Linked DNA regions of Mus musculus. The protein of the gene in region 7 interacts with the protein of the main gene of each other region in a pairwise test. Links are inferred from orthologs where the notes say so. Each region holds a gene or a part of one and is shown on either strand. Other genes may lie near its edges.

What was found.
Region 1: the proteins of Dmrtb1 (region 7) and Nif3l1 interact in a two-hybrid assay, tested with the Homo sapiens proteins (2 studies listed by BioGRID and IntAct). The two-hybrid records come from large-scale screens. The link is inferred for Mus musculus from reciprocal best matches to the Homo sapiens genes DMRTB1 and NIF3L1.
Region 2: the proteins of Dmrtb1 (region 7) and Rbfox2 interact in a two-hybrid assay, tested with the Homo sapiens proteins (3 studies listed by BioGRID). The link is inferred for Mus musculus from reciprocal best matches to the Homo sapiens genes DMRTB1 and RBFOX2.
Region 3: the proteins of Dmrtb1 (region 7) and Exosc5 interact in a two-hybrid assay, tested with the Homo sapiens proteins (2 studies listed by BioGRID). The link is inferred for Mus musculus from reciprocal best matches to the Homo sapiens genes DMRTB1 and EXOSC5.
Region 4: the proteins of Dmrtb1 (region 7) and Ctbp1 interact in a two-hybrid assay, tested with the Homo sapiens proteins (4 studies listed by BioGRID). The link is inferred for Mus musculus from reciprocal best matches to the Homo sapiens genes DMRTB1 and CTBP1.
Region 5: the proteins of Dmrtb1 (region 7) and Slain1 interact in a two-hybrid assay, tested with the Homo sapiens proteins (2 studies listed by BioGRID). The link is inferred for Mus musculus from reciprocal best matches to the Homo sapiens genes DMRTB1 and SLAIN1.
Region 6: the proteins of Dmrtb1 (region 7) and Vasp interact in a two-hybrid assay, tested with the Homo sapiens proteins (2 studies listed by BioGRID and IntAct). The two-hybrid records come from large-scale screens. The link is inferred for Mus musculus from reciprocal best matches to the Homo sapiens genes DMRTB1 and VASP.

What each region holds. Positions count from the first base shown.
Region 1 is NC_000067.6:58,443,816-58,447,950, reverse strand, and holds the start of Nif3l1 (NIF3-like protein 1), read right to left. Parts: upstream 2,801-4,135; 5' UTR 2,317-2,800; exon of another isoform or gene 2,262-2,316; intron 318-2,261; 5' UTR 295-317; coding exon 1-294. Other genes in the region: Ppil3 (peptidyl-prolyl cis-trans isomerase-like 3), read left to right, coding at 3,360-3,362. UniProt on the Homo sapiens protein: May function as a transcriptional corepressor through its interaction with COPS2, negatively regulating the expression of genes involved in neuronal differentiation.
Region 2 is NC_000081.6:77,132,554-77,136,053, forward strand, and holds part of Rbfox2 (RNA binding protein fox-1 homolog 2), read right to left. Parts: intron 389-3,500; coding exon 164-388; intron 1-163. UniProt on the Homo sapiens protein: RNA-binding protein that regulates alternative splicing events by binding to 5'-UGCAUGU-3' elements. Prevents binding of U2AF2 to the 3'-splice site.
Region 3 is NC_000073.6:25,662,153-25,665,342, reverse strand, and holds part of Exosc5 (exosome complex component RRP46), read right to left. Parts: intron 2,207-3,190; coding exon 2,093-2,206; intron 1,096-2,092; exon of another isoform or gene 1,017-1,095; coding exon 895-1,016; intron 1-894. UniProt on the Homo sapiens protein: Non-catalytic component of the RNA exosome complex which has 3'->5' exoribonuclease activity and participates in a multitude of cellular RNA processing and degradation events.
Region 4 is NC_000071.6:33,272,205-33,276,133, forward strand, and holds the start of Ctbp1 (C-terminal-binding protein 1), read right to left. Parts: upstream 2,801-3,929; 5' UTR 2,615-2,800; coding exon of another isoform or gene 2,575-2,614; intron 1-2,574. UniProt on the Homo sapiens protein: Corepressor targeting diverse transcription regulators such as GLIS2 or BCL6. Has dehydrogenase activity. Involved in controlling the equilibrium between tubular and stacked structures in the Golgi complex.
Region 5 is NC_000080.6:103,656,728-103,660,227, reverse strand, and holds part of Slain1 (SLAIN motif-containing protein 1), read right to left. Parts: intron 3,296-3,500; coding exon 3,156-3,295; intron 1-3,155. UniProt on the Homo sapiens protein: Microtubule plus-end tracking protein that might be involved in the regulation of cytoplasmic microtubule dynamics, microtubule organization and microtubule elongation.
Region 6 is NC_000073.6:19,269,055-19,273,034, forward strand, and holds the start of Vasp (vasodilator-stimulated phosphoprotein), read right to left. Parts: upstream 2,801-3,980; 5' UTR 2,465-2,800; coding exon 2,460-2,464; intron 1-2,459. UniProt on the Homo sapiens protein: Ena/VASP proteins are actin-associated proteins involved in a range of processes dependent on cytoskeleton remodeling and cell polarity such as axon guidance, lamellipodial and filopodial dynamics, platelet activation and cell migration.
Region 7 is NC_000070.6:107,681,431-107,685,608, forward strand, and holds the start of Dmrtb1 (doublesex- and mab-3-related transcription factor B1), read right to left. Parts: upstream 2,801-4,178; 5' UTR 2,733-2,800; coding exon 2,150-2,732; exon of another isoform or gene 2,036-2,149; intron 1-2,035.

The DNA.
Region 1 (4,135 bases), on a different chromosome or scaffold from region 7:
GGGCCGGAAAATAGGTGGATGGTAGGAGAGAATGAAGTCTGCCTTCTTTTGCAGAGCCTCGTCCATGACCTCCTCCGTCAGGTCATTGGTCAGGAAGAGTGTATTTACAGTATGGGGTGGGCTTGGCTCCACCAGTAATCCCACATTGTCCCAGCTCTCAGCAAATGAGAGGGATGCAAAGTCATTCAAGGACGAGAGAAGAGCCTTCAGATCCATGAAGGAACGGGAAGACCTGCAGATCCACGACTGGGCACGTTGCACACTTGTAGGGACTAGGTGTGCCGATGACAGCATACGGAAACCAGGGAGAAGGGTGCCTGAAATCACAACCCAGGAAATGGTATTTATATACCGTTCACCTCTGCACTGTGAGGCATAAAGCACGTGAGTAAAACAGCTCTCACCACTGACCCAGAGTCAAACAGTGGCCCTGCCACCCTGCAGCATGGTGGGCTCGGCCAAGTCATCTGACCTCTTCATTTTCTTCAAAGGCATTAGTATATCACCTAGCAGAGTATGACGCAATATAAATGCTCAGCCCCTCTTACACCTTCCCTGCTCTGCCCACCACTGCTTCAACCTTACACCCTGTATCTCTGCTGCACACAAACGCACAAACCCACACTCCAAGATATTCACGTAGACAGAATAAAACTAACACATTCAAGAGGCTAAGCTGTAGCTGAGTTGGTAGAGTGCTTAGCTACCATGCACAAGGGTTTGGTCCCCAGCACCACTGGGTGTGGCGGCACACATCTGTGATCCCAGCACAAGGGAGGTAGAGGGTAAGCCAGCCTCAGCTATACAGTCAGTTCTAGGGCAGCACGAGCAAGAACTGAGGCAGACAGGTCACTCCACAAACGCACAGAGCCAAGGCAAGAAAAGGCCAGAACTGCTGCCCCTGAACACACGTCAACTGCTACACAGAGAAACAGAGAGGAAAAGCACTGGGCCCCTACCCACATATTCCATGGCTGTGCACTGAATGGTGGGAGAGTAGTGTCACCAAAGAACCAAAACAACTCAAAACAGTGTGATGTGCAATCTGAGAGTTAATAGAATTGAATAAAGGAAATGTGTTTGCCTCAAACAGGTATTGTAAAAGTATCTTTTATTCACCTGGTATAATTGTCGTCTCCCATCTCTCTGCTAAGCTAGGCCTAGTTCTGGAAGCTTATAGCCTCCATACAATCTTATCTAGGCCTATTATGTTTTCAGACTCTGAGAATTACTGCCGAATAAGCTCACCCTTTCTAGTTCTTTCTGAGCTTGCGCTGGCTGGCTGGTTCAACTCAGCTGTTCTGGCTCAAACTCCTCTCCAAGCTGCCTGATTCATCTGGCTTCTCTCTCAGCCTCTGACTGAATGGTTCTGCATGGCCTCAAACTAAGCCTGACAATCCTCTCTAATCTTCTGGCTGCTTCTTGTTCTTTGGCTCAGTCTGTCTTCACTTATGCATAGCTTGTTTTCTCTATCTGCATCCTCTCTATATATAACTGTCCCAGTAAAAACTGCCCCCAGTCTCTCTCTGCACTACCCCTTAAGTAGCCCATCTTTTCTCCCTGTTCTGGAGAGAGCTGGGCATATCCTATTCTGTCAAATCTTTCTCTGATTCCTCACTTTGTCTGCCATTCAATTAGACATCACTTTCAAACATGGATGCTTCCTTCTACAAACTAATTTTACCTTCATTGTTTGAGATTAAAGATGTGTGCTAAGGGCACACCACAACTAGAAAGGTTCCTCCCACCCACCATCGGTAAATAACACAATCTCGGGGGTTCACAGTGTGACCAAACATCCTGTAACAAGCTACCAACGAGACTGATGTAACTTGTGGCTTTCTTGTTATACAATAAACTTCTATTGTGAGATGACACGACCACGTCCCGGTGTTTTTCTCGGACAATGTGCTCACAGTACAGACACATTTAAAGCATTATTTGAATGGGCTGGAGCTGCCGTACAATGGAGAGATGGGAATATCCATTGTCAATCTACATGATCTTTAGCCCTCTGAACAGCCACTTGCTATTTTTCAATTACACGAGAGCTCTCTTTGCACTTGCGTGTGGTTTTTCTTTCATTTACGCATGGCTCAAGACCTTTTCCAGAATAATCAAGGGCCGCGTGGCATAGCCTTTATTCCTGGAGTCAGCACCCTCACCCCTCCTGCAGCAAGGCAGTTTTCATCTGCAACCTCTCCTTCTATATTCATGTTCCCCCGGCCCTCTGCAGTCACCACAGCCAGCCCGATGTGCACCTCCAGCGAGAAGAACAGACAGCCCCCGCGAGCCCTTCAGTGGTTCACAACTCACCAGTCGCAGAAGCTCTTTCAGTGTATCACTTCCGCTCTGCTCTGAAGCTCCTGGCTTTGTGGAAAGAGTTGGGCAGAAGTGGTCCTGTGCGTTCTGCTTCCGACTCCAGGCCGCTGTGTGAAGTTGGGCGGAAGTTGTCCTGTGCGTTCTGCTTCCGACTCCAGGCCGCTGTGTGAAGTTGGGCGGAATTGGTCCTGTGCGTTCTGCTTCCCACTCCAGGCCGCTGTATGAAGTTGCTGGGCGACAGCGGGTTCTGCTTCTTAGTGAGGTTGTGGGTAGAGCTCTCAGGGGCCGAGGGGTGAGGTGCGTGGTCCTCCGAGTCCTAGTCGGTGTGATGAGGAGAGACTGACGGGAGAGTAGGGCGTCCCCTGCGGAGGGCTCCGGGCTTCACTTCTGTGGCGCACAGACACGCCTTTGGAACCCGCAGGCATGCCGGCCCTTGTAGTTGAGGCTTTTCCGTTCCCGCAGCAGTGGTGCTGAGCGCAGTGGGTGAGTGTGGGGGAAAGGCTTTTATCCTTTTCTCCGTGCACTCAAACGCCTGCTGCGCCCCACGTTGGTGCAAATTTATTTCTTGGGATCCTCGTGGTGAACTCTCGGGCTGGAGATGGTATTCCTGGGACTTTTAAATACGATTGATAAGTTAGCAAGATGTGGCGTTTGGGAAAAAACAAAACAAAAGTGTGAAGTATAGAAATGTATTGTACAGACGTCTTAAGTAAAGTAGGTGTCCCGGGTAAAGGGAGCTCCAAGTGCCTATCTAGAGCACTAGACCTGGAGGTGGGGCTATGCCTCCCTTGCAGAAAGCCTTGAAGAAAATGAGTAAAGTAAGTGCGCACTGGGGTGGCTTGTTGCATTGGGTAGGATCAACACTTTTATGATAGGATTTTCATTTAGAGGATGCTAGTCTAAGCTTTTCGTTGTAAATCTACCATAAAGATGAACAAGTATGGTGGGAACTTGATAGGGTAAAGTGAACTAATTCCTCTCTCTTGTAGGAGATTTGAAAAATTAAACAGTGCTTCCTAGAACCATCAAGAAGGAAAATGGTGAGTATGTATCATAGAATTATTCTAACTGGGTGGTTGGTTGCTTGTTTCTAACCCCTTTGGGTTCCCTGGAGCTGGAGACACAAGCAGATGTGGGTGCTGGGAACTGAACAGGCCCTGCTGCAAAAGCAACAAGTCCTGGTACCTGCCAAGCCTGCCCTCTCAGCCGCCCATTACATGGTTTTTAATTTGTGTGTGTGTGTGTGTGTGTGTGTGTGTGTGTGTGTTTTGGTTTTTTGAGACAGGGTTTCTCTGTGTAGCCCTTGCTGTCGTGGAACTCACTCTGTAGACCAGGCTGGCCTCAAACTCAGAAATCCGCCTGTCTCTGCCTCCCAAGTGCTAGGATTAAAGGCATGTGCCTCCACGACTGGCTGTTTTTTAATTTTTAATGAATATTTTTTTGGAGGAAGTCAGACAGGATAGTGAGTGTGTAGCTCAGTGGCAGAGTGCGTTCCTAGGATAAGGAAGGAGAGGGGAAGGGAGGGGATGTGGCGAGGGAGAGACTGTGTGTACCAGTATAGAGGGAACAAAGTAGAATAAACAAGTGGACATGATCATTACAACGTTACCCTGCTGGTGTGGTCCCAGCACTCAGGAGGTAACCTTGCTCCCAGCCTCTATAGGCCGTCGCAGTCTCAGACCTTTCATTAAAAGACACAAAAGGAAATAAACGAGCAAACAGTGTGCCCTTTCCCCGCAGAGATGAGCAGCACAGGTAGAATAGCAGGGAGTGTAGCTCCTGTGTCCACTGAAGCACCCCACTCACCTCCACC
Region 2 (3,500 bases), on a different chromosome or scaffold from region 7:
TAGTTCAAGCTCCCCACTGTCCAGCCACAAGGCTTAGGAAAGAACAGTCAGTACATGCATGCTGGGCAGTGAGTAGAAATGCTAAACTAACTCAAAGCGCTTTCTTTCCGAGAAGGTAAAAATTTCACACGTCCTTCTACCTTGCATCTCCGACTTCACATACCGTGAGAGATCCATTCTGGTTGCTGGGTGAATTGCTACTCTGTTCTCCATGAGGCTGCGTACTCCCGTAGAGGGTCAGGTTATGTTCACTGGTCTGGCCGGCATAGTCCTGAGTGTGTGGCACTCCATATTCTGTGGGAATTCCATTTTGTGGAGGTGGTGGGAACGGGATGGTAGTAAAAGGCTGAACCATTGCGTCAGGAGTTGTTGTTGGCTCCTGGTTACCCTAGAGCAAGCAACAGAAAAGAAAGAGGAGTGAGTGAATAAATCTTTATCACACAGGACTCTTAGCATGTTCTCTCACTATCCCCCGCTCAGGAAGAAACTGCTAGGATCATCAGATAACTTCATTCTTTAAAAAATATCAACTGATAAAACTTAATTTTATGTGTGCTTTGCCTGTGAGCATTATGGTATGGTGTGGAGTTAGGACAACTTGATTCTACATCCTCCTTCAACATGAGTCCCTGGGATCAAACTCAGATTTGGTGATAAGTACCTTTCTTTACCTGATGAGCCATCTTGATAGCCAAGAGCTTAATATTTGATCATCTCTTCCAAATCATTTGGTGCTCTGCCTGTACCCATAGTTGGTGGCAGAATATACTGCTTCCAAGGTCAAGACTGATTAGCATTTAAACAGGTGTGCAACAGACAAAAATTCAAACTAAGGTAGACTAATAGATGAGCAGAGCCTAAGGATTGCCTTTCAGAAATCTTCAGAAAGGGTCTATTAAGAAACATATGAAGCTTTAAAGACACAGTTTCCAAGTTTAGATTAGGACCAAGGAACTTGCCTCTGTCTCTGACGCTGCTCTTCTTGAACTCTAACCGCCATTCTCCACCCCATCCCTGATGGGAGTGAGACTGTGGTCCACAAGCAAACAGCATCAATCATCCCACAGGGCCATTTCTGCCAGAGCTGGCCCAGTCAACTGAACAAACACATCAACTAGTGGTGGGGATTGGGAGCAGGAAATGCTTCTAGGGTATACCCATAGTCTAGGCACAGCGAGATGTAACCACGGTAGGACTGTCGCCCATAAGAGGGTGCAATCCTCCATCAGGGAACAGGGCTCCTGTTGACTTAGGGAAATGTGACTGATAGCAACACTTACACAGCTGTCTATATGCTAAGACAACAGACCTGGCCGGACAGTGGTGGTGCACACCTTTAATCCCAGCACTTGGGAGGCAGGGACAGTCTGATTTCTGAGTTCAAGGCCAGCCTGGTCTACAAAGTGAGTTCCAGGGCTACACAGAGAAACCCTACCTCAAAAAATCAAAAATCAAAAACCAAAACCAAAACCAAAACCAAACCAAAAAGACAACAGACCTGGAGTAATGCTTTATGTTTTATAGCAATCACTCTACCACATATATTATGGCTATTGTTTTTATTAGAAATATGAAGTCATTTAACATTCTTAATAAAAATAATATAAGAATGTTTTCTAATCAATTTTCAGTTCACATTTCAAAGTTTTAAGTTGAAAGGGAAATACAACAGCTCCCAGCCAACTTATGACAGTTGATAGGATTGCTTCTACATCATGAAATGCTTTTAAAATATTTGTATTATTTTTAAAATGTATGTGTATGTATATATCTGTATATGTCCTTACAGAAGCCAGAAGAGGGCGCCAGACATTCAGGAGCTGAAGTTACAGGTGGTTGTGAGCTGCTTGATATGGGTGCTGGGAACTCCCTTCAGATTCTCTGGGAGACCAATGCCCTACACTTCTTTCTATTGCTGGGACCAAAACCAACTCAGGGGAGAAAAGAGTTCATTTCACTTTGCAGTTCATAGTCTGTCATGGAGGCAAGACAGAGCACCGGACTTAATCAAGTGGTAAAGAATATTCTTGACATCAACCTTGGACTTCCACATGAATGTGCACGCATATCCACGTGCACCCACTACATAAGAGCACACAGACGCAGGCAGGCAAGCAGGCGTTCACACACGAGCGTGTGCACGCACCCACCCACCCACACAGACACACACAGACACACCCAGGCACACAGCTCTAAAAGCAATTTTGTTTGTAGGGCTTAAGAAATGGCTCATCAGTTAAACGCAGGTAAGGACCTAGAGGCAGGAACTGATAGAGGAGCATTACTTACTGGCTCGCTCCTCATTGCTTGTTTGGCCTGCTTTCTTGTACAACCCAGGGCCACCTACCCAGGGTGTCACCACGCACAGTGATTAATCAAAAAAAAAAAAAAAAAAAAAAAAAAAAGGCCTATAGTCATGTTTCCAGGTCAGTTTGAGAGAGGCAATTCCTCAACTGATACCTCTTCCCATAGAACTCTAGTTTGTGTCAATCTGACAAGGAACAACCAGCAAGTATTCGTTACACACCTCCGGCCCCTATGCTTTATATTCTAGGCTAGGCAGCTAAGCACATAACACCTGGAAAGGTGAATTATTACCATCTTTCTAGGATGAAGTCCATGCAATGTAGAAAGAGAAGGTATTTTTATTGTTGTCTTCCCATTCCTTTCTCAACTTCATTCTAATTTTTCCATTTGGTAATCTTGACTCCAATTTACAGGCATAACCTAAACAGCAGCCTGCAAATTCTAAAGGCAGCCCATTCAGACAGTCTCTCAATCACAAAAAGAAGTACTTGAAAGAATATTCCCCAGTTTAACTAGGATGCCAAAAATATTTCTGCTTTTAAGCATTTTACAAGCGTCATTTTTATTCCCTGGGAGCTTAGGTAGGCTCAGATTTCAAACTTGGCCTGCCTTTCTAAAACCAACCAGTCACTGGGAAGATGGTTCAGTTGTTGAAGTACTTGGAGCTGGGCAGGCAGAGGCAGGAGGATCCCTGGAATTGCTGGCCAGCCAGTCTTGCCAAAAGGTGAGCTACAGGTTTGTACTGGCTAGTTTTGTGTGTCAATTTGACACAGGCTGGAGTTATCACAAAGAAAGGAGCTTCACTTGGGGAAATGCCTCCATGAGATCCAGCTGTAAGGCATTTTCTCAATTAGTGATCAAGGGGGGAGGTCCCCTTGTGGGTAGTGCCATCTCTGGGCTGGTAGTCTTGGTTCTATAAGAGATCAGGCTGAGCAAGCCAGGGGAGGCAAACCAGTAAAGAACATCCCTCCATGGCCTCTGCAACAGCTCCTGCTTCCTGACCTGTTTGAGTTCCAGTCCTGACTTCCTTTGGTGATGAACAGCAATGTGGAAGTGTAAGCTGAGGAAACCCTTTCCTCCTCAAGTGCTTCTTGGCCATGATGTTTGTGCAGGACTAGAAACCCTGACTAAGACAAGGTTCCATTAGAGATCCTGTCTCGAAACTAAGGTGGAAAGCAACTGAAGAAGACATT
Region 3 (3,190 bases), on a different chromosome or scaffold from region 7:
GACTCATCACAGAGCAGCGGCGTGGCAGGATGGTTACGCGGTTCTGGCGCCAAGTGGCTGCCGCTGCTCCACACCAGGTCTTACCAACTCTCTCCCAGCTATGAGATCAAATGGTTTTCTCCATGTCTCATATCTTTGTGTTAGATGGGACAATGCTAGGGAACAGGTATGTACACTAAGGGATATACCAAGTGTCATGAGTGAAACAGGGTCAAATAGAGAGATATCCCAAAGCCACACAAGAAAGACATTACTGGCAAAGCCAGGCCCACCCCCGGGGAGTCTAGTAGGCAGCTACCATGCTAGATAATGGAGCTCTGAGGTGGGACGTGCCTGGAGCTTGAGTCCCACCCTTGTTTCCATCTTGGTCCCTTAGACCAAACACTGCCCCTCACCTGAAACAAGGCAACATGAGAAACACACATGGCAGGGCTCTCGAACCAGAGAGCCTGAGCCCACTGTCTTGGGATTTACATAGGAATTACAGTGCTACCCAATACAAGCCCAGTGAGAACTAAATGACTTAACATCATGAGGTGCTCAGTGCCAGGCCCAGCAGCACACAGTAAGCCCTGCTTGCTAATTTTTAAAAATTACATTCATCTACTTGTGTGTGTTCAGGGGCAGGTGTGTGCCATTGTGCTCACGTGGTAGTTAAGAGGACAACTTATGGGAGTTGGTTTTCTCCTTCTACCATATGAGCCTTGGAGACTGAACTCAGGCCGTCAGGCTTGGCAGCGAGCACCTTTCTCCACTGAACCATCTTGTTGACCATGGCCTTGTTGTATGCTCTGCAGGAGCTGCTGCCTGGCACAGGTCCTGGGTGGCTGAGGGTACGGAAGCCGGAGGGGAGGTTCTGGCCACTTCCTGGAGGAGAGGGCTGGGAAAGGATACAGAGCCAGCGTCGCTCACCACCTGCAGCACCACGGTGATTGAGGTCCGGGGGTGCAGGGCCCCTAGAACCACAGCTTCACAGGTATTCCTGACCAGCCGCTCGCGGCTCTTCTCGGCCACGCCTGGGGAGACGGGAAGCGGTCAGGCTCTTCCCTTCCACCCCGTCGTCTTGCTCTGCTTGGTCCAGCCTCTGGAGGGAGACTTCAGGAAGGGGCTGTCAGCCTCAGTCCGGGTCGGAGTACACACTCCCAGGAGAAAGCGGGCGAGTCTGCAAGTTTCTGAGTAACTCCTGCTATGGCCAACCTTGGCCAGGGGTCTACCAGCCAGCCACCCAAGGAGGAATACCCAGAGGTGCCCATGTCCTGTGCTACTGGCCATATCTACTCTCATCAGAGCAGGCCCATCCCATGACACATGGGGAGAAGTGGTAAAAGGGCAGAAAAACAAGTTAATGGGAAGGAAGAGCGAGGAAGGCAAAAAAGGGAAGAAAGAAAAGGCTCAAGAGAGGGTGGGTCTGGTGGTACAGGTCTGTAATCTCGAGACTTTAGGTTAGGCAGTGGGATCATGAATTTGAGGGCAGCCTAGGTTATAAAGAGAGCTCACTGCCAGCTCAGAGGACTTGAGACCCCGTCTCAAAAAGTTAACAGGGGGGCTGGTGAGATGGCTCAGCAGCGGTTAAGAGCACTGACTGCTCTCCCAAAGGTCCCGAGTTCAAATCCCAGCAACCACATGGTGGCTCACAACCATGAGATCTGACTCCCTCTTCTGGTGTGTCTGAAGACAACTACAGTGTACTTACATATAATAAATAAATAAATCTTAAAAAAAAAAAAAGAGTTAACAGGGCTGGCTACATGGCCTAGCCACATAGCCTTAAATTCACTAGGGAAAAGCTAATGGTGTGGCTCAGAGCTGGAATTCCTGTCTGGAGACCACCAGTGAGGATCTGGGAGGCCTAATCTCAGCAGCAGAGGGCTTGACCGGACTCCACCCTGGAGAGCCTGGGACTGTGGCTTCCTGGAAGTGCATCTGCCCAGCAGGCCTGATGCTCTAGATTCCATTCCAGTGCAGCAGAATCAAAAGCTGGGCAAAGAGGGAGGAGAGCAGGGCAGCAGAGACTGGACACAGCAAGCATCGAGGGGTCAGATGAGGTCCCAACAGACTGGATCTTTTGGGGGGCTCAGTGGAGTCCAGTTACCAGGCAGCCCGATCTTCGGCCTCAGGATCACTTCAAGGGTGGCCTTGTTGAAGATTTCTTTGCTGACCTTCACCTCGGCCGGCCCATAGACTCCAGCCAGGACAGAGGTATCACCTGGGGGAAAGAGGGAGGCCTTGGCCGCTCTGTGCTGCACTTAGCACTTCTTTCCTCTGCTCTCTTAACTTTAAGCAGCTAAGTACCTTCCTCATGGTAAGTTTGTGAAGATCAGGTGACTGTGGCTCACAGAAGCAGGAGGCCCTCAGTCTCCCAACATCACACAAGAAGATGAAATAAATGCCAACTTTAAAGAGACACAGTTCACTTGAAACATATAAGACACTGGCCAGAAGGTGCAGAGCTTACCACAGACTTCAGCCACTGGTTAATTTTTAGAGGTAGCTGGGGTTTGCAGAGATGGCTGGTGGTGTGTGTCAGCATGCACACTGCTCTTCCAGAGGACTAGAATTCAGTTCTCAGCACCCATTATCAGGCTGCTCACAACCACCACGAAACCCAGCTCTAAGGGACTGACACCCTCTTCTGCCTTCATGGGCACTCGCACACACAGCTCTCGCCCACACACGCATATACATATCCCAGTGTTTGGGAGACACACAGGAAGATCAGGAAATCAAAATCATCCTTGGCTCCAATGGTAAGTCTGGGGCTACCCTGAGCTACGGGAGAACATCTCATAAGCCAGCCAAGCAGAAAACAGTTATTAGATGCAATTAAAATATATTAGTAAAATACATTTTAAAAGGACAAACAATAAAGATTGTGAATGTGTAGGGGGTCTTAATTTCTACTTATTTCCCCCAAATGGTTATGAATGGGTCTGGAGACCTCGTGTGACTTTGCTAACGTCCACAGGCGTCAGAGAGGCCACCTACGATGTGAAGGCACTGCATTCAACAGCAGTTTCCATGTTTCTGACTGTAACTCCCAATGCCCACTACACTTTACAGCACAGCTCCAAATCGATAAAATGTATGTGTATAAGTCGGTCAGAGGTTGGGGCTGGAGAGATGGCTCACAACTGTATGTAACCACAGTTCTTGGGAAGATCGTACTCTTCTGTCCTCAGGCACTAGGGAC
Region 4 (3,929 bases), on a different chromosome or scaffold from region 7:
ACATGTTTGTGAGCATGGCCCTCAGCCCCAGAGGGACAAGGACGCTGCAGCTGCTGCAGGACTGCTGAAAGACACGGTAGGCTGAACCCGTCTACCCCACAGAACCCAGAGTCACTGCTAACAGTGAGTGTGACGATGCAGAATGCAGGCACTGGTGCTGACAGACTTTCAGGTGCCATGGGTTAACTACAAAACCAAGTCCACATAAGCCGCTGCCTCTCTTGTGAAGAAGTTTACATCCCGGGGCTTGAAGGCAGGCCCCCTGCCCAGCACCAAGCAAGCCAAATCCTTTCCTGACACTAGAAGAATGAAAGCTAGTGTAAAGGTGCTGCCATGCAGTACAGACCTCAGGACATGTCTGCTTTCCATACCATGCCGGGAGGCCACACAGCTAGTAGGTCTCATGGACAGGGGGTCCTCAGCAGTACCCAGATCTAAGGATCAATGTCCACACAAGTTTCTTGCCAGGTTACCCTGTGGGCACTCACCAATGAAGTACAAAAGGCAGGTAGGAAATAGTGAGCTGCTGGAAGGACAGGAGTCTGTCCCACCTAGAACCCTGAAGGGGACACTAGACCTCTCTGAGCATGAGACTCATCTGGAAAAGGGCGAAACACAAGCTGAAACCTGCTACAGGTCCACAGGTGACAGAAGATAGAATAGCCAGAGAAGGACAGTGTATCACTGAGGTCCCACCAGGATTCCACAGGCCCCAGCCCACACTATGTACAACTAACATGGCACAGTGCCCTCAGACATCTGTGGAAGCCAGGCTGACACATACAGCAGGGCCATGCAGAGAAAGAGCAGCCTCAAACCACAGCTGCCACCCTAAATAGTAACAAGACAAGCAAACTCATAGAGTTCCGGAGAACAGTATGACCCCACACTACACCACAACGCTGTCCCTGAACTTGGCACATCCCACAGCTGTCACCCCATGTTGCAGATGAAACAGAGAGAACACACATATGAGCCCAGCCCATATTCACATCCTGCTATCATTCTTCCAGAGATCATGCTCCCCCGGGGTCTCAAAGATGTTAGTCCAACTCTATAATGGAGCCCCGATGTCCTGCATGCCAATCACACTGGGGTAAGCATCCTGTGTATCCCTGTTTATATTGGACACGTGCTCTGAATCTGGAAGTGACAAAGCAAAACACAGTAAGGGAACATACTACCCGGGGAATAAAACTGCTAGGTATCATCTTGCTGACACCCTGGCTCACTGGGTTCACTTTCCTAAATACTGGACAGCTAAACTCCTTCCCTTTTCCTTCCTACAAGGCAAATTTGTCCTAATCAATCAAAAGCTCAACACGACAAGGGACATAACCCTGGGCCAGGAAAGGTTTGACAGGCAAGGCTGTCCTGCTGATTTCTGGAAGGCAATGGGCTGGGCCTGCCCTCCCTACCCCATGGGAAATTTGGACTATAACCCTGCTGGTTTGGGTGCAGAGCCTCTTCCTACAAAAGTGTGTGTGTGTGTGTGTGTGTGTGTGTGTGTATACACATGAGCCTCCAGGGAGTTCAGCTCTGAAGAGGTGCAGTGTAGGGGAGGAGTACCCACCACCAGTCCAGGATGAAGGCAGGCCTGGAGGGCCTTACCCCGCCACACCCTGAAACAAACTGACAGGATCTGCAAAATGGCCTTGTGTGATAAGAGGTATAGTGGGCCATCACAGGGCGCCTCCCTTTTTCCCTCCTGCCTACAGTTCCTTATTTCCTGCTGGCAGCACACGCTGCGAGGATTCATCCCCTGCCAGCTTTCAGGCTATAAGGAAGAAGGCAGTGCCCTTGTGAGAACAGAGCTGGGGGTCAAGCCGTGTGGTCATTAAAGTGGAAGCGCCAAAGAGAGGGACACTGTAGGGCACTTGGACGGTGGGCAAAAGGCTCCTCCCTAATCCGAAACCTCTCGGCTGCCCCGCCCGAAGGTGGGGTCGTCTTCGCTGCGCGTGCGCCAGGCTACGCGGCCAGGGAACGCAGCCAAGGAAGGACTGCCCTCCACAGGCAGGACCCCTGTGGCTTAAGGACTTTCATAAATGAATAAAAAAAAACGTAAGTGGTCCAAATCCAGGTGCCAAGCTGAGCATCACTAAGTCGACCAGAGGGGTGATAGGCATGTAGGCCACCCATGTTCCCTCAGCGCCACCTCTAGAGACTACCCGCTCCCGGATCTGCCGACCCGAGGCCCATGCGGAATCCGCAGGCTCGTCACTCCGGGAACACCTAGGTCCCGGCTGGGTGTCCACGAGAAGGATCCTCGCGGGACCCCGGGCCAGGAAGACAGGCCCGGCTCGGTCACAGTCTGGGTCGCACCACCACAGGCCCCTTTGTCACCTGCGCGGGTCGCGAGCGGGCATCGGAAAATAGGGACGCGCACGCGCGTGCAGCAGTTCGCGCATGCGCATCACCCGTTGGCCTCCTGGGTTTCTCCCCCCCAACCAGGCGCGCGCGCAGCGAGCGCGCACGCGCACTCGCACACAAAGCCAGCGCCGCGCGCGCCCGGCCGCCCCGCCCCCGCCCCTCCACCCCCCGCCCGCAGCCGGAAATGCGCGCGCGCGGCCTTACCCAGCGGCAGGCCCTTGTTGAGCAAGTGGGAGCTGCCCATTGAAAGGTGCGGGTGGCCGCGGGCCCCGATGAGTCCGGCGCTCTCCGCCGCCGCGAGCCCTGCGCCTGGGGCGGCTTCGGCGCAGTCTGCTACTCCGCCCGGCCGCCTGCGCCCGGCCACCGCCGTGCCGAGCCGCCACCGCGCCGCCAGCCGCGCTCCGACCGACGAGCGGGCGGGGACACGCGGCGCGCGCGCGCGGGCGTGGCCTCGGTTGGTCTGCTGTTTGCAGGCAAGGCGGCGCGCTGGACGTACGCGGGCGGCTCAGGGGCCCAGCTGCCCGCCGGCCCGACGCTCGGCCCCCACCCCCAGCGCCCCTCCCAGGCTGGATTCCCTTCCTGGACACGCCCCCAGCTGTACCCGCCCCCGGCCTCCCCTCCCCTGCGCGTACCCCGGACTGCGCCCCTGCCACTCCTTGGCGCGGTGACCTGGGCCGGAGCCTGAGTGGTGAAGCAGCCCATCCGCGTGGGGCGCTACCAGTCTAGTCGCCGGGGCCTCAAGAGGACAGCGAGAGCGGTTCACTCGGCCCCTTGTGCGCTAGAGCTGGGGCCGCGGACCCAGGACCCAGGAGCTGGACAGCGCCCCAGCCAGGGAAAGTGATCTGTGCGCAGGGACAGATGCCCGCTGGCCACCCCAGAGTAAGCGACTGACTGTTGGTGGGACTGTCAGACAGGCGTAGCGAGGGATACCGCTTAGCTGTTAAAAAAAATAAAAATAAAAAAAAATAAAATAAAATAAAATAATAATAATAATTAATAATAATAATAATAATAACATCACGGGAACAGTCCAAACTGAAGGATGCTGAAGGCCATATGGTTACGAGTTTTGAAAATCAAATCTTTGAGAAAGGTGGGCAGTATCAATGAGGGATGACAAGGGCCTGGGCATCTGTTTACAGAAAAAATGCTTTGAAAATACCTTCCAATTCCATCTATTGGCAGACATGGATGGAGAAAAAGATCTAACAGGTGGAGTCTCAAACCTGCTACAGTATTTCCTAAATAGACTGAGGGCTAGGGGGGAAAGCCAGCAGATGTACACTTTCCCTTAATCCCCACCCCTATCCTGGACTGTCTCTCCTGGTCTGTTCCAGTTTTCTCGAGCTGCAGGTGACTCCCTACAGATCCATCCAAAGGGCTCCTCCCAGTTGTTCCATCCTAACATAGCAACTCCATGGCAGAGTGACACCTCCTATTCCTTCTCAGGCTGCCCAAATTCCCACTTTTTCTTGCACATTGTGACTAGGACCACCACATCACTCCATCCTTGTGAGGGATTATATCAGGGCTTGTATAAAAACCCTTAGGGCTCAAAA
Region 5 (3,500 bases), on a different chromosome or scaffold from region 7:
AGTGCATGGCCAGGAACAGGACAGGACACCAGGCCCCTTACACTCAGAGAGGACCCAGAGAGTCTGGAGTAAACTGATGAACAGAACTGAGAAAATCACCTTTGTGTAGCAAAGTAAAAACTAAGTGAGATGCAAAATATGATAAGATATTGCAATGCCTGCATATAAGCACTATCACAAAAACATCTATGCATGCTATAATTCATAAAAAGCCAAGTTAGAAAGCTGTGCTGAGAAAATATATAAGGAGATGAGGAGGAACCAGAAATTAAACCTCACAACCCAAGGTCGCAAGCCTGTGTGTGTGTGTGTGTGTGTGTGTGTGTGTGTGTGTATGAGAGAGAGAGAGAGAGAGAGAGAGAGAGAGAGAGAGAGAGAGAGAGAAGGGAGAAACAACAATTTAAAAAGAGGTCATGAATTTGAGGAGTAGGGGGAAACAGAAAAAAGTTGGGGGGAAAAGAGAATAACATACACTATTCATGTCTAAAATTCTCAAAAGATTAAGAAACTTTAAAATGGTAATGTAACTCCACAGCCATCTAACAAATGAAAAATTAAAAGACATAAACAGAAAAACAGTGTCTGTTACGTAATTCATCCGAAAAATAAGCAGGAAAGTATGAGACGACTAATATTTTTCAAGCTGAAAAGATCATTTTATGAATGGCCATCCAATAAACAGCCTCTCCTTAGCAGAACGCAGGGTCAGGAACCGGGGGTCTGATGCTTGCCAGGCAACACACTACCAAGGAGCTCAATGTTTTCAACTCCACCCCGGCCTAGGTCTTCAGCTCAAATCAGTAAGTTACAAGGAATTACAAATCTTTGAAACGAAAGCATTTAGTCTTACAGCAAAAGTTTGCAGACGAATAAACAAATTTAGTCAGCCACTGGTTTTGCTTCTAAAAAATTAGTTTTCTACCTAAAATATTTTCTATAAAACTCAAATAAACCAAAGCACAAATAAAATGGTCTGATTTCACTGCATGTCCACATGACTTCTCATTTGCCAATAAAAAGCAAAATTAGATGATCAGACATCTGATCAAAAATATTAATCAGATTTACATTACATTTACTAAAAGCTTCCTTTCTGTGTCAAAAATCAACCCTGCAATTTAACTCTGTGCCAGTCACCTGACCCAGAGACTGCTACACCATGGCCACGGTGGGCTAAATCCAGCCACCTTCTGTCTCTTTGATATCTATCAGTTAAGAGCAGTTTTTATATTTAAGGGGAGGGGAGTGTTTCATTACAGAAAAAAAAAAATCTCTTGAAATTCGAATCTGTGCCAATGAACGAGGTGCCATTGGAACAAACTGTGTCTACTTAATCTGACATCTATGGTTGCTTCTGGGTGACAAGCGGGTCGTGCAGTCACAACAGTGTGTAGCCTGGAAATCTCAAGGTGTCACCCTTAGCAGAAGCAGGTTCATTGACATCTGAGCTAAAGAGCTGTCATCCTTGAATCTCATTTGACTTCTGTTTCAAACCATACTCATACAACAAAATGTCCACATAGTAAGGCCATAAGTCTACTTGAGAAAGAAGGTGAGAGACGGGGACTTGGTTGTTTGTTGAGCAGGATAGGAACTGATGGTAGATTCTCTGGACATCAGGGTACCATCCACAGCATGGGCACTAATGGCCAGTGTTCACCCAGCATATCCCTGTTCCTATGACCGTCTTCCACTTGCTATCAATACATCAATAGTTAACAAAACAGATGCCTTAAAGTCCACCTTCCCCAAATACTTAAGCTAGACTTCTGTGGCTATTAACTTATGGCCGTGCCAATACAACAGGCAGTACAGAATCTATACTGCTAAGGATAGGCTTCCTGATGTCAGGGAGACCCCAACACCGACCCCATCACCCAAGTACCCTCTTGCTTAGCAAACCTCTCGATCACTCAACTTTACCCTTCTCACCTCTACAGGTGAATGAAAAACCTGCCTCTGATCAACATGAAGTACTGACTATTGTAGGATTAAGAGGCAAAGAAACTCTACCTAGCTTGTCCTCCTCTCAAGTGTCTCGGAACCATCCATTATCCCTGAAGAGCCTGAGAAGCAGAGTCTAACCTTCAGTGTGCCTGAGCAGTGCTCCTGACTCACCAAGGCAGATGCCCTCTGCCCATCCTCACACAAACACCTTCTTTCCCCTGGAGGGGGCGGGCCCTGTGCTTTCAAAAGTTCAAACAGGACTTGAGATGCAGTGGTACATGGGCAGAAAGGGTGTTCCTGGAAAGTGAGCGGACACTGAGAGGTTAGAGAACAAGGTGAAAGGTCAAACTTTTACAGCCTCGAAGTACTGGACACAGAGGAAAAGGAAGGAGCTACAGACCACAAATTCCTTTAGCTGTTTCTCCCACAATTCTCTCCATCTCTTGTCTCTGTCTCTCTCCCTCTGTCTAACTCTGTGTGTGTCTATCTACCTACCTATCTCCTATCTATCTGTCTGTCTGTCTGTCTCTGCCTGACTCTGTCTGTCTGCCTGCTTCTCTGTCTCTGTCAATCTGTCTATCTGTCTGTCTCTGCCTGTATGTCTCTGTCTCTCTGTCTCTCTCTCTCTGTCTCTCTCTCTCTCTGTCTCTGTCTCTCTCTCTCTGTCTCTGTGTGTGTGTGTGTGTGTGTGTGTGTGTGTGTGTGTGTGTGTGTGTGGTATGTGTCTTCTGCTGGTCTCTACCGGTTAACTAATGGGACATACACTACTAGGATTAGCTTCTGGCATACGGAGGTTAAGACTTCCAGTCATCCATCCAACTAGACAGAGAAGGAATACAACAAAGTAGACCTCAAGAAACTCCCAGTGTGACTTAGAATTGAGCCACAGGTCCTAATTACCAATTTAGGAAAGTGAAGACAGACTCATTTCACTTACTGACACATTTCTGAAACAGGAAGAAAAAAAAAAAAAAGATATGATCCATATCATCAGCTAAAACTCTAACTAAAGGTAGTTAGTCCCCTGAGGCCAGTGAGCAGAGCCCTCAGTAAGGAACTGTGTGTTCCTCAGGACAGACGGATCACATGTGACAAGAACCTGTACCCCAGTTTAAGAGCTTATCAGCTGAAGTCTATTCCCAAACCAGAAACAGAAGCCAAGAGCACAGTCCAAGGTTGAAGACAGAGAGTGCACACACTCACAGTACCTTGCTCCAGTCTGAAGCGCAGAGAGCGTCTGGCTGCTTCCATCTCAGGAGTTGGGTTATCTAGGACATGTCTACACCACTGCAAAGGACTCGGGGATTTCTCTGGTGAGGTGAATGTCTTTGAAGAGCCAACATATAACCTTAAAAAAAGAAAGAAATCTACATTATAGGCATGATATAGATTACAGAAAGTGCCTCTCTTTGGGAGGAAAACAGCATGCATTGAACGTTCCCATAGAAACAGAACCACATTTGATTGCTTCAAAGTACCGAGAATCATTTTTAACAGGCAAATATCCCCAAATAGAATAGGTTACTTTCCAAAGCCTGCTGAGAACTACTTCA
Region 6 (3,980 bases), on a different chromosome or scaffold from region 7:
ATGAGTCACCACATCGTACTCCCAAACCATTAAACTTTAACAGGCCATTTCCTTAACACCACTGCACCTCAGTTTTACTACCTGTAAAATGGGGGTAAGACCGGGAGCACATGCTTGTACTAGCACTGCACTCAACTGCGGTGGAGATTTAAAACGGAACCAGACTCATATTACCCCACCTGGCAGGAAGAGTGATTGAACCTGCTACATCACTTAAAAAGAAAAGAAAAGAAGAACCGCTGCTCATGTTATTGCAAGAGGAAAGGAGTGAGGCACATTCTTTCAGAATTCTGCCCAAGAGCCCTCAGACCTCTGACCCCTTCTCTGCCTTTCCCAGCTCCCGGATGCAGCAGACACTCGGCAAATATTTGTCAAACTGGGAGAAAAAGAACCGTATCTTGTAATTTTCCATCTCAACCACCTCCCTTCCCACTCCCCCTAGGGCTGTCCCCAGTCAAACCAGTCCTGCCCCCTTCCCCACCACAGCATAAGACCTCTGAGGGCGCTGGAGCCAAGATTCAAAGTCTTGGGGGCAGGGCTCAGTTTACCCAGCTGGGAATAAGGAAATAAGGAATGGGTCGGGGTCTCTGTCTCTAATCCTAGCTGTCCTTGGAGAAGTGACACAGCCCAGCAATTGACCAAGGACGAGGGAGACCCTTTCCTAAGAGGGTGGGGGATTCCTTCAACTTGTGCCTACCCTCAGGGGAGGGAGGGAGGTTTGGCACTGGCCACAGCCAGAGCGGGGCGGGCTGCAGGAGGACCGGGGCTGGGGGTGGGAGTGCAGGGGGCCGGCCTAGACGTTGCTCCTGCCCTTTTACGGTCTCAGCGAGTGAGGCGGCACTAACTCGGACATCCGCCATCCGCCTTCCACCGGGCCTGGGACCGGAAACGGGTGGGGGTGGGGCGGGGCTGGGGGCAGCGGGGCGCAGTGGAGGAACTGACCCCCTTTAGGGGGACAGAGCTCCCATGGGGGAGGGAAGGCCAGGCAGGAAGTCTCCAGGGTGTCTCAATGTACCCCTTCTTGCTCCAAATCCCAACACTCCCACAAGCCAAGGGACAGACTTGGGAGGCCGGGAGGGAGGGAGGGGTCCTAGCTCAGGGTCCTAGAGAGGAATGTCACCTAGATGTCAGAGGGCAAGACTGGAGGATGTGCACATGGGAGGTTAAGCCCAAACTGTCCCCAGGAGACTCCTCCTCCAGCCAGGGGCTTTGGGGCAGGAAGTCCCAGCCAAAGTGGAGGAAGGGAGACAGTATTGTCAAGATGTGGCCCCAAGGGAGAGATTATGGGGGGGTGGGGGTGGCTGGGGCTGAGAGGAGGGGAGGCCTCTGTCAGGCCAGGCCCCGCCCTCAGGTGAGCCCAGGAGTTCAGGGCAAGTCCCAGGGAAGACATACAAAAAAAAAAAAAAAGAAAGAAAAAAGAAAAAAAAAATCTTTGTATCCCCCTCACCTACAAGATTAAATTCCTAGGAAGAGAGCTGGAAGAAGCTAGTGAGCCTGGGTCCCTGAGGGAGAAGGCTATGACCTTGACGCTTTCCAGCGCCCCCTCCTCCAATCCCACGGCCTGGGGAAGGGGGTAACACCCAGCGACATTGAGCCCAGGGGGAGGGACTGTGGTGTGGGGAAAGCAGCTGGCCACAGTGCTCACTCGGGGGCCCGCCCCCCACACCAGCTGTCTCGACAGGTGAGTCAGGAAGACAAAGGCCCCCCTCCCCCAGCTGCTGCGCCCCCTCCCTCCCCGGCCACCAGGTTGGGGGGGGGGGACCAGAACCGTCCTCTGGCCCGGGGGTCCAGGAGCCGCCCTGGGCCTGGAGTGCTCCAGGGCCCTAGGACCCAACCTGGTTGCCTAAGGGGAGAAGAGTCCCATCCAGACCCTCTAGGCCCCGTGGGCCAGATTCCCAAGAACTCCTCCACAGGAGAACCTCGGTGTCCACCAAATTTAGGAACATCAAGAAGTGCCCCTAAAGTTAAGGACCGCGATTCCACTCTGGGACTCTCATCCAGTGCCCTAGACGCAAGGATCCGAATTCCAACCACAACCTGAGACTCAAGAGTTTTAGGGCTAGGGTTCTCTAGCCAGCCTCCCACCTGGTTTTGAGTTTGGGGGCGGTAACTCTGAGCCCGCTTATACTAGATCATCCCTGCGAGGATCTGACTATCTGAGAACTCAGAGGTGCTCCCCCCAAAAGTCTTCAAATTCTGAGTCCCGAGAGCGCCCCTAAACCTGAAAGCCATCAAGAGAACCTCAGCCGGCACCGCCCCAAGCCTTTAGGGAGTAGTGTGGAGAAACGGGGTGTCGATATTTAGAGATCGTTCCAGAAGGCACCGGCTCAGATCTGGGACGCCCAAAGCGCTGTGTCCCCTAAATCTAGCCCCAAATGCGCTGGAGGGGGGGAGGGGGACAAAGGCGGGGCGCGGAGCCGGCTCCCGGCTGGGACCCGGCTGGAGGGTTCGGGGCTCACCTCATGGCTGCGCGGAGGGCGGGCGGCGCGCCCACGGGGAGTGCTCCCGGGGCGCCCCTGATTGGAAGTGCAGGGGTGCGGGGCTGGCTCCAGGTTCTGCTCAGTCTCTCTCGGGGTCCCGCCCCATAGAGTCCAGCTTCCTGGGGAGAACGTGGACCGGGCCGGGGCGGGTCTTCAGGCGCCTCCTCCCACCGGTGTTCTGATGTGCTGGGATCCCCTGCGATGGAAAGCGGGGTGCAGCGTCCGAACCTCGCCGGCGCACCCCCTCGGCCGGCTGCACCTACGCGGTTACTCTTACTACTGTACTCTCTTTGCTACATTTCGTTCCAAAATTCCACTCCCCGTACCCACAATTCCCTGCGCCTTAAAGGGGCCGTGGACGCCTCCAGGCGGGGGATGGAGAGCGTTTAAAAGGCAACGCGGAACCTTGGGCTTCCGCAATTGCACTCCTTTCCCGGTCTTGTGGCGTGGGGGTGCACCCTGAGCCTCACTCCGGAGTTGGAGGGGAAAGCTTGGTGGAAGAGACAAGGGGCCTTTCTTTGATCTCTAGCTGTCTCCACTATCAAATTCTTTAGTAGAGATCTGGGGGTGTAGGTTCTCCACTCCAACTCGCTCCGTGGACTTCTCAGTTTATTTTTTGGGGGATGGGGGTACCCTTGGTTAAGCAAGGGATCTCATCAATTTCCACCTTTAAGTAACACTTCCGCACTTCTCTTCCCCAGATCTCGCTTCTCAGGCCGAGCCCCACCCCTCGCCGCCCCCCACCCTCCCGGGGAAGGTGTGGAGGAAGTGAGCGAGGGGGCGCGGCGGGCCGCTGACTCACCGCGGCCGGGTCGTGGTTGGGGTGGGGGCGGGGGTAAGGGTGGGGGATAGACTAGGAGCGAAGGGTTGGTGGTGAGACCCCGATCTGCTCCCCACGCGGGCCCAGCTACAGCTTAATTTTGCCCACGGAGGGTAGTAGGATCGTCCCAACAATCCGGCAGGCTCAGAGGCCCGGAGACCCTCCTCTAGAGCCCCTTCCCCGCCAACACGTCCGGGCTGAGTCGAGCCCCCCCTCCCCCAAGCCTTCCGCAGTGGGACCCATAGGCCCCGCCCAGAGTTACATCATCATGCAGACACGCCCCTCCCGTAGAGCTCTACCTGGCCGGCTGAAAGGCGGTAACTCTAAGAAAATGGCAGTTCCTGACTTACTGATCGAGAAACTGAGGCTCAGAGACAGGGAATGGGTTTAGCTTATTTGGGTCCCCCCGCTCCCAAACTCACGAGAATCAATCCACGTGGCCTTTGGCCAATCCATTTCCTGGATGCTATGCTGGCTCCCTGTTGTCCTTCACTTGTAAGAACCTCAACCTTCAGGCCAAACTCTTACAGTAATTCTGCTCTAAAAAAATCTAGTACACCAGTTAGTTGTCCTGCTCAAACCAGGAGGCTGAGGCAAGAGGATCACGAGTTTGAGGCCAACCTGGGCTACAGGGTGACTTTAACGTCATCTGAGGTTATATATTTAAGAACAAAAGTGGC
Region 7 (4,178 bases):
CTAACAGTAACGGCCATGCAACACTAGCAGCAACACTCTAGCACACCGGTGAGATTCCCAGTCCCCCCCTTGGTTCAGCGCTGTGTTGGGCAGAGACAATGGGAGCCCTTGGCTTTGGCTGCAGTCAAGCTGTTCCCCGGGGTTGGTGCATCAGGAGGGGACAGGACAGGACGTCTAAGCCACCGTGTGGTGGTTCTCACCCACCACTGGACTCTGCTTCAGTTTCTGTTCCTGGCAGTGCTGGTGTGAACAGCACAGCCCAGGCACTTCCTCTGCAGTCACAGACACCATCTCTCCTCTTCATTTTTAACCCCACTGTCCCTGAACACTCAGCCATGCTGTTTTGCCCACATGCAGGGCCCACCTCTCCTACTTAGTAAACTCTCTGGAAACGCCTCCCAAGATGCATCCAGACAAATTCCTGCTTTCCTCATCCAGGTTTCTCACCAATCCATCTGACAATCGAGAGTAGCACCATCAGAGCCAGCAAGATGGCTAAAGGCACCTGCCACCAAGCCTGACAGCCACTGCTCCATCCCAGGGACCCATGAGGTAGAAGGAAAGAACCGGTTTCCCAAAGTTGCCCTCTGACCTCTCCTCCACACATGCTGGGATTAGCCACAAGTGGCCTCTTCTCCCCCCCTCTTTATAACACATTTTAAAGTTCCTGTTTGTTGAGAGATGAACACACATATGCCCTCATAGGACTGCTGGTTTATTTAAGTCTGCCTTCCTCATCAGACAGATAGTTCCTTGGGGAGAAAGATTTCTTACAAAATCTCAGAAACATTAAGAATGATTAGCATTGGAGCGGAGTGTGGTGGCGCATGCCTTTAATCCCAGCACTTGGGAGGCAGAGGCAGGTGGATTTCTGAGTTCGAGGTCAGCCTGGTCTACAAAGTGAGTTCCAGGACAGCCAGGGCTATACAGAGACCTGTCCAAAAAAAAAAAAAAAAAAAGAAAGAAAGAAAGAAAGAAAAAGAAAAAGAAAAAGAAAAAGAAAAGAAAGAAAAAAAAGAGAAAAGAATGGTTAGCATTAATTTCTGAAAGTCTGCTCTTCAAGGAAGGAACTTGTCCAAGGCTACACATGGGCATCCCCTCGACTCAGACTCTTTCTACATAGCCCTAAGGAAAGTAACCCCCTCTACCCCCCCCAAAAACCCAAGTCTTCATCCCAAAGAGCCGCATTCCAAGAGCCTCAAATTTTACATTACTTGAAAACATACTTCAGGGGCTAGAGAGGTGGCTCAGCGGTTAAGAGGTTAAGAGCACCGGCTGCTCTTCCAGAGGTCCCAGGCTCAATTCCTAGCACCCATGTGGCAGCTCACACCTGCCTGTAATTCTAGTTCCAGAGGATAAGACACCCTCACACAGACATGCATGCCGGCAAAACACCAATGCATTATAATAAATAAATTATAAGATATAAATATAATTTTAAAAAAACTCAAGAAATCTACTTCAACCAGGAAAGCAACCTACAGCATAAAGAAACAATGTAATTAATGCACAAAGCGAGGGGGAAAAAAAATCTTAGTGAACCAGCCCATCCCCCTGGCCAACTAGCAGAAAGTTTTATTCCCCACCACATCAGGTGAAATGGAACAAGTGAGTGTGAGTACAGGTGCGTTAGGCTAGACACTGCAGTTAGGATAAATTAGCCTCGGCTCAGTGAAAGGAGGGTGCGCAGGCGCAGTTTAAGGTGAACAGCCACTCAGAAAAAGACTCTCCAGCAGGAGAAAAATGGCAGGCGGGGAGGGGGAGGGGTTGCCACGCAGGCACAAGAGATCTAGACCTGGGAGGGGGGAAGGGATGCCGTGCAAACGCGCTAGAGGGGCCACGGAAAGGCGCCACTGCCAAAGCTGCCCAGCTGCCATCTTTTTTTTCCTCTTGCAAAAGTACAGAGGCAGAAAACTGCATCTCAACAAAGCCCCCCTGCACTGCACATTCTTCCCTACCAGCTTTTTCCCATTGCTATCATCAGAAGCCACCCACCCAAATCCTTGTCTGGGAACAGGTTCTCAAGCGGGGTTACCTGGGGAAGGCGCCTTTCCCACCCCGGCACCAGTCTGGGACTCCAGCTTAGAGCCGGAGGCTGCTGGCCTGGTACAGGCCGGAGGAACCGTCGGCTGCACGAGGCTGGGCTTACCGTAGTCGGCGAACGGCAGTCGGGGCACGGGCCGCACTGGCCCTGGCACTGGCACGGGCCGCACTGGCAGGTGCTGATCCGGGTAGCAAAGCTCCGGCCTGGGCGCCTGTGGCATGAGCTGGGGCAGCCACGCGGAGGAACGGTCGCGCAGTCCCCCGGGGGCCCCTGGTCCAGGCTGGAAGGTGCTGGGGCCCGGGCGGCCACTTGGGCCCAGCTGGAAGGTGCTCGGGCCTGGGCTCGGGGCCTGCGGGGGCCTCTCGAGGAAGCAAGTGGCCGTGGGGCCTGGCCCAACGCCTCCCGGAACCGCCCTAGGCAGTGGGCAAATGCTGGAGCTCAAGGCGGTGGCCGCCGCTGCTGGAGCCCTAGGAGGCAGCTGGGGACCCTGCGTGCCCACGGTCGCCACCTGCTCCTCGGCAGCTTGGGTTCTGAGAACCTTCTGGGCAGCCATGATCTTCTGGCGCTCGGTGATCAGGTAGCACTTGTCACAGATGCACTGCTTCCAGCGGCATTTGCCCGTATGGCCCTTGACTGGTACCAGATAGCCATGGTTCCGGCACCTAGAGCACTTGGGGGCGCGAAGCATCTTGTCGTCTAGCTGGGCAAGCTCTGCTTCCAAACGCAGCCACCACTTCCCGAAGCTGCAGAGCAAGTGAAGCAGGAATGAGCGGTGCCCCCATAAGTCCCTGGTGCTGGGGACATTGGATACACTTGTAACAAAACAGCTCGCTGAATGTCCGGAGAACTGCAATAGGACTCTTGCATTTTTTCCACTTTCTGTGTGTGTGTGTGTGCTAAATTTACCGTGTTTCTGTGTGTTGGGCAATGGTGTACGGTGTAAATTAAAAATGAAATACTTATTACATGTATGTCATACGAGTTATTTGAAGTTTTCGGCACTTGAATTTTCAAACTTCCTGTTCCCGCCAAATTGTAACTGGAAAATAGATTTTTTTTTTTTTTTTTTTTTTTGAAAAAAGGCGGACTTCTACTCAACGGTCGAGGGTTTTAAAACTCCCAATGAACAGAGCTGTTAGTAAACCCGTACTATTGGAAAGTTCCAGAGAACACTGTGTTTTTCCTCCCCGAAGCAGCTGCTTCTGCTTCATCTCGCTCCTCTGTAGAGAAAAAGAGCAGTTCTGCTTCCAGAATATTCTTCAGCGCTTAGTGCAGTGTTGGTTACTTACAGGCATTGCAGAAACCATGAGTTTTTGAGTCCTGTTTGTGTAAGCACTAGGGTCTGAAAAATGCATGCTTAATAATGTTCTAAAGTGCCGGGCGTTGGTGGCGCATGCCTTTAATCCCAGCACTTGGGAGGCAGTGGCAGGCGGATTTCTGAGTTCGAGGCCAGCCTGGTCTACAGAGTGAGTTCCAGGACAGCCAGGGCTACACAGAGAAACCCTGTCTCGAAAAACAAAAAACAAAAAGCAAAAACAAAAATAATGTTCTAAAGCAAAACATGATAGTTCGGAACTAATTTGAATTACTGGCTTTTGGGTTTGTTTGTGTGTGTGTGTGTTTGTGTGTGTGTGTGTGTTTCTTGTTTCATATGGTCTTTTAATTGTCTTTATGAAGCCAAACACAACTACTTAAAAAAAAATTCCCTAGCCACTGGAAATACATTGATGAAGCATGCATACTTCTCTCAGGAGAGGGGCCATATAAGTAAACATTTGCAAGAGCCTTCCTCAGACATCTGCTCACCCAGTATAGGGCACACAGCACGGTGTGTTCAGACCTAACTTAGGGGGGCTTGCCCCTCCAGGATGGCCTTTATTCCCAGAATCTACCAATATCACAAGGAGCCACAATTTGCTTGTTTTGTGACAAAGCATGTGTTCCAGTCGGTTCACTCTGAGAGAAGGGGAGCTCCCAGCTTTGGAGAGTAATTCCACCCAAAAGAAAAAAAAATCACATACATGCACACACACACACACACACAAGCAAGCACAATCTCCATGAAAAAAAATCTAATAGCCTACATACAACCTGTCATTTAAATATATATACATATATGTGTGTATACACACAC